Linked DNA regions of Neurospora crassa OR74A. The protein of the gene in region 2 interacts with the protein of the main gene of each other region in a biochemical or structural test. Links are inferred from orthologs where the notes say so. Each region holds a gene or a part of one and is shown on either strand. Other genes may lie near its edges. The genes, in order: NCU08067 and nrc-1.

Region 1 (4,308 bases), on a different chromosome or scaffold from region 2:
TCCCCAACTCCGGCCGCTGGATGTTCAATTGCTGCTTGTGGGTACATCTCCTTTTGGGTTCACAGCCTCCATCCGTCCGTCCATCTTCTCTCCGTTCCTCGCCATGCATGAAATTCGTAAAAACAGCACCCATTTCCATCTTCCCCCGCTTTTTTGTCCTGTTCCCTCTTCCATTGCCATTCTCCAGTAGCGGCCTATCCTCTGCCGTAGCTGCCGAACGCAAAATAGAAGACATGTAAAGTTGATACAAGAACTAGTGTAACACGAGAAAGGAAAGACATTGAGAAAAAGGGTAAGAGAAGATAGAAAAATGACATTGCAAGAAAAAAGGGAAAAAAAACTCCATTTCCACCCAAACCTTGCCCCGTCCGCATCCAACATCCGGTTTCGCCTTCGTTTCCAAACGAGCCACGGTTTTTGGTGTGTCGCATTACGAGTCCCGTGGGTGGTCGAGAAGAAAGTGTAACGTTAATGTGGGTATAAAACGCCGACTCAAAAGAAAGATAGATAAAAGAAAAAAAACCACTTCATGATTTTGTTTTGTACTGGCGGTTCACACGCCAAATCCTCTCTTTTCAAAAAGACGAAGAAAAACCTCAACTCCATCCCCGACCCATTCAAGCCCGCTCATAGCAAAATCAAGTAATTGCTCGGCGCAATACCCGTTTCTCCATTCTCCTTCCGTGCCTGCCACCACCGCCCGCTCACGTCGCTAATCTCCAGCACCTCATGCTTGGAGAAACTAATCTCGTTGGCATCGTCCGGGTTGGCCTCATAGCTGAATATCGCCTTGGCCCTGTACGGGTACTCCGTCGGCGGAACGATCTCCCCTTCTCCTTGCGGCTTGGGGATGTTGTTGGACGAGAAACCCTGGGGAATCTGCGACTGGCGAGCGGGGTTTTCGAGCCCGTTGAGCTGACCCGTGTACATTTGCGGAGGCTGGAGGCCCGAGGCCGAGGTTTCAGGGCGCATGTTGTAGGAGCCGTAAGCATTGGGAGAGGAGAGACCGTTGTGGTTCATGGTTTGGCGGCTCATGTGATGCGCAGGGAGGGTGGATTCCTTGGTCAGCGCAAAGGAGTCGATGTAGGCACGGGGAACAGCCGATGGGGCGGAGCCAAAGTAGAATATCCAGATGATCTGGCGGGACGTTAGCAAATGGGGTCAGCCAGCTGGGGGAAGTTAGCGGGGAACCGCATACCGTCACCATGGACAACAAGATATACCCAGCCGCTGTCGCCTCCATGGACGCAACGCCACTGTAAATCAGGTTGTTGATCGACGACGTGGAGCCGACCAGCCCGACGGCCAGGTAGCCAACGATGGCGACATGGTAGGTCTGAGCGCTGTCCGAGGCGATGACGATGAAAATGCCGAGAATGAGGAAGAAGTTGAAGACGAGGGTGAACCAGCTGTAGGTTGGCCAAACAATGACGGGAGCCCCATTCGATCCGTCATTTTGGTCCCTAAAGCCAAAGATGGATCCAAACAGGATGATGATCCATGACAGCTGTGGTGATTGTCAGTTCGTGAAGGCGACAGGACGGGAAAAGGGTGGACGCCAGCGCGCGCGCGTATGGAAACTCACAGTAGCAATAGAAGTAGTGGCCAGAGCAAATGGGTCACCAATAATGTTGCCCATGTCTATGCCTTTTCGGCGGTACGAGTTCCTGCCGTGTTCCATTTTGGGGTTGTTGAAGGACGGGGGATAGTTAACCGATCCTCCGTACGATTGCATCAAGGGCGAAGGTCGCCAAGGAAGAGCGTCCTCTCGGGATATTCGAGGTCCGTGTTATAAGTGATGGACCGACGTGTGTGGGACACTTTAGTTGACGCACACCTTCACTTGGGGTATAAGATGACGGCGAGGGGCCGTGTGTGTGTCGTATTCCGGGGACCAGTCCGCGGTTGGTAATGCGATGTGTTTGTTCTGCAATGACAGATGCAATGTCACGAAAAAAAAAAGAGAGGAAGTTCGACGGCGACAAGTGGTCGAAGTCGAAGCAAGAAATTCGGGTCGGGTAGCAATTGTCGTTTGCTGCAAGACGTTGAGCGAGGAATTCGGTGTCCAGCAACGCGGTATGGCTCGTCTCGGTCGTTGCAAATATGGGTAGGTAGTAATTGGGCGATGTATGGAAATGAGTCGAAGGTAGGACAGTTGCAATGTTATTGAAAGATTGGGTGGTCGCTGTCGGGCTGCTCCGTCGGGTGTTTGTTGGTTGGCAATCCGCAAAGAGGAGGCTGAGTCCAAGGGAAGTGGCCGTCGGGTACTCCAAGGACACTCAAGACGAGGACAGAGCCTTTGAATCTTCAGGGGAAATAAGCAACGAGTCGGTCGCACGGGTCGGGAGATGTGACGGTACGGTAGTTGTCCGTTGGAACGAATGGCGGCGGCGGTACGGTATGGGTAGATACGGTAAACACGCAAGATCAATCGGTAGTTGGAAGAAGGGCGGTAGAAGAGTCCACTGGAAGTCTGGAAATGGTCCTGGATTCCTTTTTCCTGTTTTCTTTCTTCTTTTGTTTCCCTTTTTCTTTGTTTGTCCGGTGTATGACGGTAGTCGGGTGTGATATCTCGGTACCTGCCAACGTCGTATTGTACTATCCCCCCGTCTTGTTCCGGTTCGCGTTAATAAAGGGCTCAGCTCAGCTCAGGGTCGGACAATCGTATGCTGTCGTCGTCGTCGTCGTCGTCGTCGTCGTCGAGGTTGATGAGGTTGAGGGAACGAAGGGAGCGATTGATGGATTGAGCAAATTGTTGTTGGACGTGGCTGGGGCGATGATCAACGCCGGCCAATGGAGAAGTGAAAGGGAAGAAAAATTGAAGGAGGGAACGAACAGAAATGAGGGGATCGCACGGGCAGGACGGACGGACGGGGACGTGAAAAGGGAAATGGTGTGTGTGTGGGTGTGGGTGACGACGGCTGGGTGGTGGTGGGAGATCCGGAATGGAAGGCCAACGACGGGGCCTGGCTGAGGGACTCCGGGGCGGGCAGCAACCGGGGGGGGATGAGGTGGCTGCTGCTGTGGAAACGAGTGGACGAGACCGCGCAAGAGAAGTGAGGAAGGGACCAACAATGGAGCCCACTGAATCCACTGAAGATGGGGGGGAGCCATGTCCGCTGTGGAGGCTCTGGACTCCTGGAGTGCGTTGCCTGGCGGCTGCTCGCTGCACAATGAATGAATCCTTCCCTTGCAGTGACATAGGTACAATGTCCGGGCAACACGCGGCAACACTGCGAACGAGCCAATCGCATTATTGCATTTGCTGGGCTAATGAATGCAATGTCCAGTCAGAAGAGGCACGGTCCTCAATCTCACTGCAAATCGTTAGGCCAAGACATTCCAGGCGCTGCTTACCTACTGTACCTCTAGCGGCTGTGTGGGGACGGGAGCATGGAGCAAATTAGAGGTACACAGACACAGGGCGGGCTACTGTAGCAGCTCGATTTCTTTTTCTGCACTTTTTGACAGTCTTTGTAGCTGATGGTGGTGATTGATGGGGAGTCATACCTACCTAGAGGTAGACTCTGCTTGGGTGATTAACCTGTTCAAAGTGAATGATGGCTCTAGGGTACTGGGTCATGGCCAGGACATCTTTATTTTTATTCTTGTTTTCTTCTTCCATCTTGATATATCTTACCTCGACACTGTTCAAACTCATAGTCAAAAAGTCTCAAACATTCACAACATTGTAACACTCGGAAGTCAGTCAGGCAGCTAGCCATGTGGCTTGCGTCTGTGCTCCATTCACTCATTGCTAGGTCGTCCAGAAACATCGTGACCGACTGTAAATGATAGGCTGAGAGCTGGCTACCATGCGACATCACTCAGCTGAGCTCGGTGACGGGCAGAAAATGTCAACAGAGAGACGGATTCACCATGCCACGAATCCACACCCATGCAGCATGCAGGCAGGGGCTTTAGGCTCGCCGCGTGAGTTCTAGGGCAACGCCGTTCGTTTCGGAATCCCATCTGCAGGAGCCAAACAATCACTGCCGGCTATCAAGCGTGTTTGTGACGTTTGTAAAAAGCCTCTCCCGTGAATTCTCATTCCAGATAGAGCGCTACCACAGCACCGTCGATCTGGTTTTTGTCGGTGCTAACGGCGAGCAGAGTGTTGATATCGGCTGAACATTCCAGTGGGCCAAAGATGACGCCCGACTCCCGCGCATCTGTCGCGTGATATCTGCCGCGCAATGACATCTGCCCCATTCCCTTGGTCACTAGCATTGTTCTCGTACGAATGTGCCAACCACTGTTGATCTGCTCTTCACACTTCGTAAAGTGCACGCGCGCTACCAACGGCGT
Region 2 (4,263 bases):
TCTCGATAAAGGAAACCCTGGGACGGAGGGTTACGCGACAGCATCAAGGAAATGAATGGGGGCTTTTCGGCGGTATACTAACATGTTGCCCCGTGCTGTTCAGTCGCATCTTTCCACCGCCCCTTCCCGCCCATAGTGTGTGTAGTTCCAGCAGAATTAGATTGTGGCCTGCAAAAAGCGAGATACGGGTCGATAATCGACGCCGTGGCTGGAACGAAGACGCAACAAAGAAAAGGACTCAAAGCTTCCATGCAGACCAGTGTGCTGAGTTTGGTGGTGGCAATGGAACGTTAAGTTGGGTTGGGGCGGTTATCTGCGTGCGAAGGCGTGGAGGTTGCCCAGACATGCTGCCGGAACCACGGCTCTCTTGAATATGCCTAACTACATACACTATCACCTATCCACATGGCTAGGTGACGTTTCAGGCCGATTTTTCGGTCCCTAGTGCCGATCTTCCACTTTGCTGTTCACTTCTTGTCGTTGTTGTCGTTGTCGTTGTTGCCGGGTGTTGTTTGACTTTTATTTGCGCCTCTTCATGCCGGTCCCGATGCACCAACAACAGACAAGAACAGTCTCTTGAGTTGGGGAACGATGGCTCGACGAATTGTTGGCCTGGTATCTACACTACCACTATCCACGGCGTTGTGACACTTGGGGCGCAGAAGTTGGATGCCATCATTTCCAAATACGACATCGTCTTTTTCGGTTCCCGAGCGATGTGAGAGGTGGAGCCAAAGAAGCGTTGTTTCAAGGGGCGCCTGCAATGATTAGCGGCTTGGCGGCTTGGCGGCGGATGATTCTGCAGGCTGTCCAATCCGCCGCTAGCGTTAGAGCCCCCGCCTTCTCTTTACAGACACTTGCACAAGTCTTGCAGGGTAAGTAGTCGCAGTCCCGTCCAGGCCGCATTCAACGCATTCAACGCCGCGGTTTCCTCTCTTCAGCAGCCCGCTAGAGAGGGAAGGTGCAGCAAAAGACGCTATCGTCCCAATCCAGGCCCAGGGCAGTCAGGCCCCCGGCTGTCCCTGCCCCCGCGGCGGCCACTTCCATCGTGACAACAACCTACACAAGTGGAAAGAGCGACTCCATGCCCACTGAAGCGAGCTCCTCCTCCGTCCTCCATCTTCCTTCTCCATTTGTCGAGTTGTCGGGCTAACTTTTTCTTCGTCTCTCTTTCCATTCGCTCCGCAGTCGGCATTGAGGGGTTTTTCTTGCCGTGGTCTCTTCGTTGTGCGTAAAGAATTTGCGCACTTTGCGTGTTGTCTCTCTCTCTCCTCCAGCAGCGCTCACATTCCACCCCGGACAAGTCAACCAAATTTTGGATCATCGCGGGCAGCGCACAGGGCACCGCTGCAGATAGTACACAGCAGGCATTGCACAGGCTTCCCAAGCCGGGCACCTTCAACTAGGTACACTACTTACTAGTTCTACTTGCATTGACATCCATCACTACTTCACTACATATTATTTCGGCTGGGTGCTTTGATGTCCATTCTCTTGTTGTGTGCGAGTTTCAAGAGACAATAAAGAGGGTTGCTATCATTGTCGCAGACAGCCCGTTGCGCGCTTCCAGGTCCCCTCCCCTCCGCTTCCCTCCCTCCCCCAAGGAGAGACAGTGTTAGGTAGCGGGCCGGGCGGCTTTGTGGTTAGTACCGTTAGTCTCCTCGTTGGCTGTCAGTGTCACGAATAAGGAGATTCCAACAACACACCTCTAACCAAGGGCCCCTTGCTCCCTCTCCACGTCGTCTTTCTTGCCGAGCCTGCTTCATATCCAAGCGTGTGACCACCAACACACGTTCACCACGCACCAGCTCCAGGCATTACCGCACCTTGTTGAGCTTGTTGGGCCCGACGCCAGACAATTCTTTCGGTCGCTTCATCCACTTCCACATATACCGGACGACGGGCAAGCCACTGATTGCCGGACAGCGGTCAGCCCATCTTTGCCTTGGCTTTTTGGATTAGCATCGGCAGTCTGTGCGCCTACATATTCACCATCGCCGTTCCCTGCAGAAAGCAGCAGTAGCAGCAACAACCGCCGCCTTTGCTTCTGCTTCTGCTTCTGCTTCCATCGATCCCCCCTCCCCCCCAACCGCTCTGCACGCGCAAAACATTCGACGTCGTCTCGCCACCACCAGAAAATACACCTAACAGCCCATGTCATCATTACTTCCAAGCTGACCGTCGCTTCAACCATGGCCATGCTGGCATCCAAGTCGCCCTATACGCCTTCGCTGGGTTCCCAGTCGTCCACCATGATGGCGAGCACACCACAAACCGCCTACAATCCTTCGCGAAGAGCGCCTGCAGTCTCTCATGCGACCAACCAGAACTATGCGAGTCCTACCGAATCCGAATTTTCCGAACTTGACGGGCCCGAATCGGTCAAGAACTGGAACGAGGACAGGGTGTGCGAATATCTCAGGAGCGTAAAATGCGGCGACTACGAAAGGATATTCCGCAAAAATAACATAAATGGCGAGGCGCTTTTGGAGATTGACAAGGAGGTCCTCAAAGAGATGGGAATCGAAAAGGTTGGAGATCGCGTCCGCTTGTTTCTGAGCATCAAGAAACTCCGGACACAGACCTATGCGAACCAGAGAAAGAGAGACAGGGTCAGTTTGGCTATTCAGGTGTCCGGGCTTGCCACTTTGACTTGGCTTAACGGCTAATGCTTCTCTAGGAATCCTTTGCTGTACTTGATAACCAGTATTCAGCGACTTCTTTACGAGTGCCCATCACAAATCGGTCAGCGGCAACGTCCGCTCCTCGGCGCTATGACCGCCAGTACGAACTCACCCCCAATGCCGACATGTCGAAACCTTCCTCGCGGCCGACCTCGCCGCTACCTAGTTCTGACTACAACAGACAAGCCCGGCGAGGCTATGTGCAACAACAGGGCTATGGCAATCAACCTACACAAGCTGCTCCCTCGCGGTTCCCCATGTCTCCTCCTGAGTCCCACCCCGGCCGATTGGTACAAGCCCACACTAGGAACAACTCCAGCATGGATGGTTCGCTGATGGCTGCGCTGCCACAGGGTCAGGATGTCATTCGCGTCATCTCCACAGGTGGCGTAACCAAGGTTGTTAAGATTGCCGACTGCAACACCTGTGAAGAGGTTATGCGTGTTACCCTACGTAAGTTTGGCCTGCGGGAGGACCATGAAAGGAATTACTGTTTCTGGGTACTGGCCGGCGTTGATCCGGACCCAAACCAATGCCGCCGCCTCGGGGATACGGAGCTGTGGAGAGTCATCAAGGACCACACTCGCCCAGAGCGCAACCGCCTGATTCTCAGGCGTGTTCCTTCTGGAGAGCCGGGCAAGGCAGAACTCGAAAGAGCAGCTGCCATTGCGATGGAGGAAGCACAGCAAACACATAGGCCTCCAATTGAGCCCAGCGATAAGCGGAGTCAGCTGAAGCTGCAAAAGGTGCTGGGAGTGGGCTGGGAAGACCTCCAACAACAGCCTCCGCTGTCTCCCATGTCCTATCAGGACCGAGAAAGAAACGTCTCAAACGCTGCTAGGGATCTAGAGCGGCCAGCACCTCTGGAAACCCCCAGGGCCATGCCTCGCCGTACACAAGCACTTCGTCAGTTCGGTGGGCTGAGACCGCCTAGCGAGCTTATCGCCTCGGATCTTACGAGCTACTTTCCAGATCACTCTCGTGAAGCTATTGACAGGACGGCCCGTTTGTCCATGAGACGCTCGGCACGTCTGAGTAGAGTGAACCATCGTCTGAGTGTTGCCAGCACCCTTAGCTTTGCCTCTAGCATACAAGACGCTCCGCCGATCCCTACCATCGCAGACAGCTGGTTGACCGCTTCCAACCAGATTGCCAAGGTACGCCCGCGTGATGTGCTGCCAAGGGCGCCTCACGGGTATAGAGATTCTGTGGCTTCATCCGTGCTTGATACGCTACAAGAAGAAGGCTCCCCAACCGAGCCTAACCGGAGATCATTCGTTCCATTTTCGGACAGCGGCTCGGATACAGCTGCAGTTAGCGTCATTGATCCCGATGGTAACATAGTCAGACACAGTTACTACGACAGCGGCACCAACAACTCGGCCGATTCCGCGGTAATACAGGAAGCACTTGCTGAAGATGGCGAGGATGCAGCTGACAAGGAGCTTCAAACTTTTCTGGCGGGCGACGCTTGGGACGACAGTATGTGGATGAAGGGTTCTCTTATCGGCCAGGGTTCATTTGGCTCCGTGTACCTCGCCCTACATGCCATCACTGGTGAACTGCTCGCCGTGAAGCA

What was found.
Region 1: the proteins of nrc-1 (region 2) and NCU08067 form a complex in vitro, tested with the Saccharomyces cerevisiae proteins (2 studies listed by BioGRID). The link is inferred for Neurospora crassa OR74A from reciprocal best matches to the Saccharomyces cerevisiae genes STE11 and SHO1.

Annotation. Positions count from the first base shown.
Region 1 is NC_026501.1:156,706-161,013, reverse strand, and holds the start of NCU08067 (osmosensor protein), read right to left. Parts: upstream 2,978-4,308; 5' UTR 1,736-2,977; coding exon 1,586-1,735; intron 1,508-1,585; coding exon 1,199-1,507; intron 1,138-1,198; coding exon 628-1,137; 3' UTR 1-627. UniProt on the Saccharomyces cerevisiae protein: Plasma membrane osmosensor that activates the high osmolarity glycerol (HOG) MAPK signaling pathway in response to high osmolarity.
Region 2 is NC_026503.1:1,803,009-1,807,271, forward strand, and holds the start of nrc-1 (MAPKK kinase), read left to right. Parts: upstream 1-1,182; 5' UTR 1,183-2,192; coding exon 2,193-2,612; intron 2,613-2,680; coding exon 2,681-4,263. UniProt on the Saccharomyces cerevisiae protein: Serine/threonine protein kinase required for cell-type-specific transcription and signal transduction in yeast. It is thought that it phosphorylates the STE7 protein kinase which itself, phosphorylates the FUS3 and or KSS1 kinases.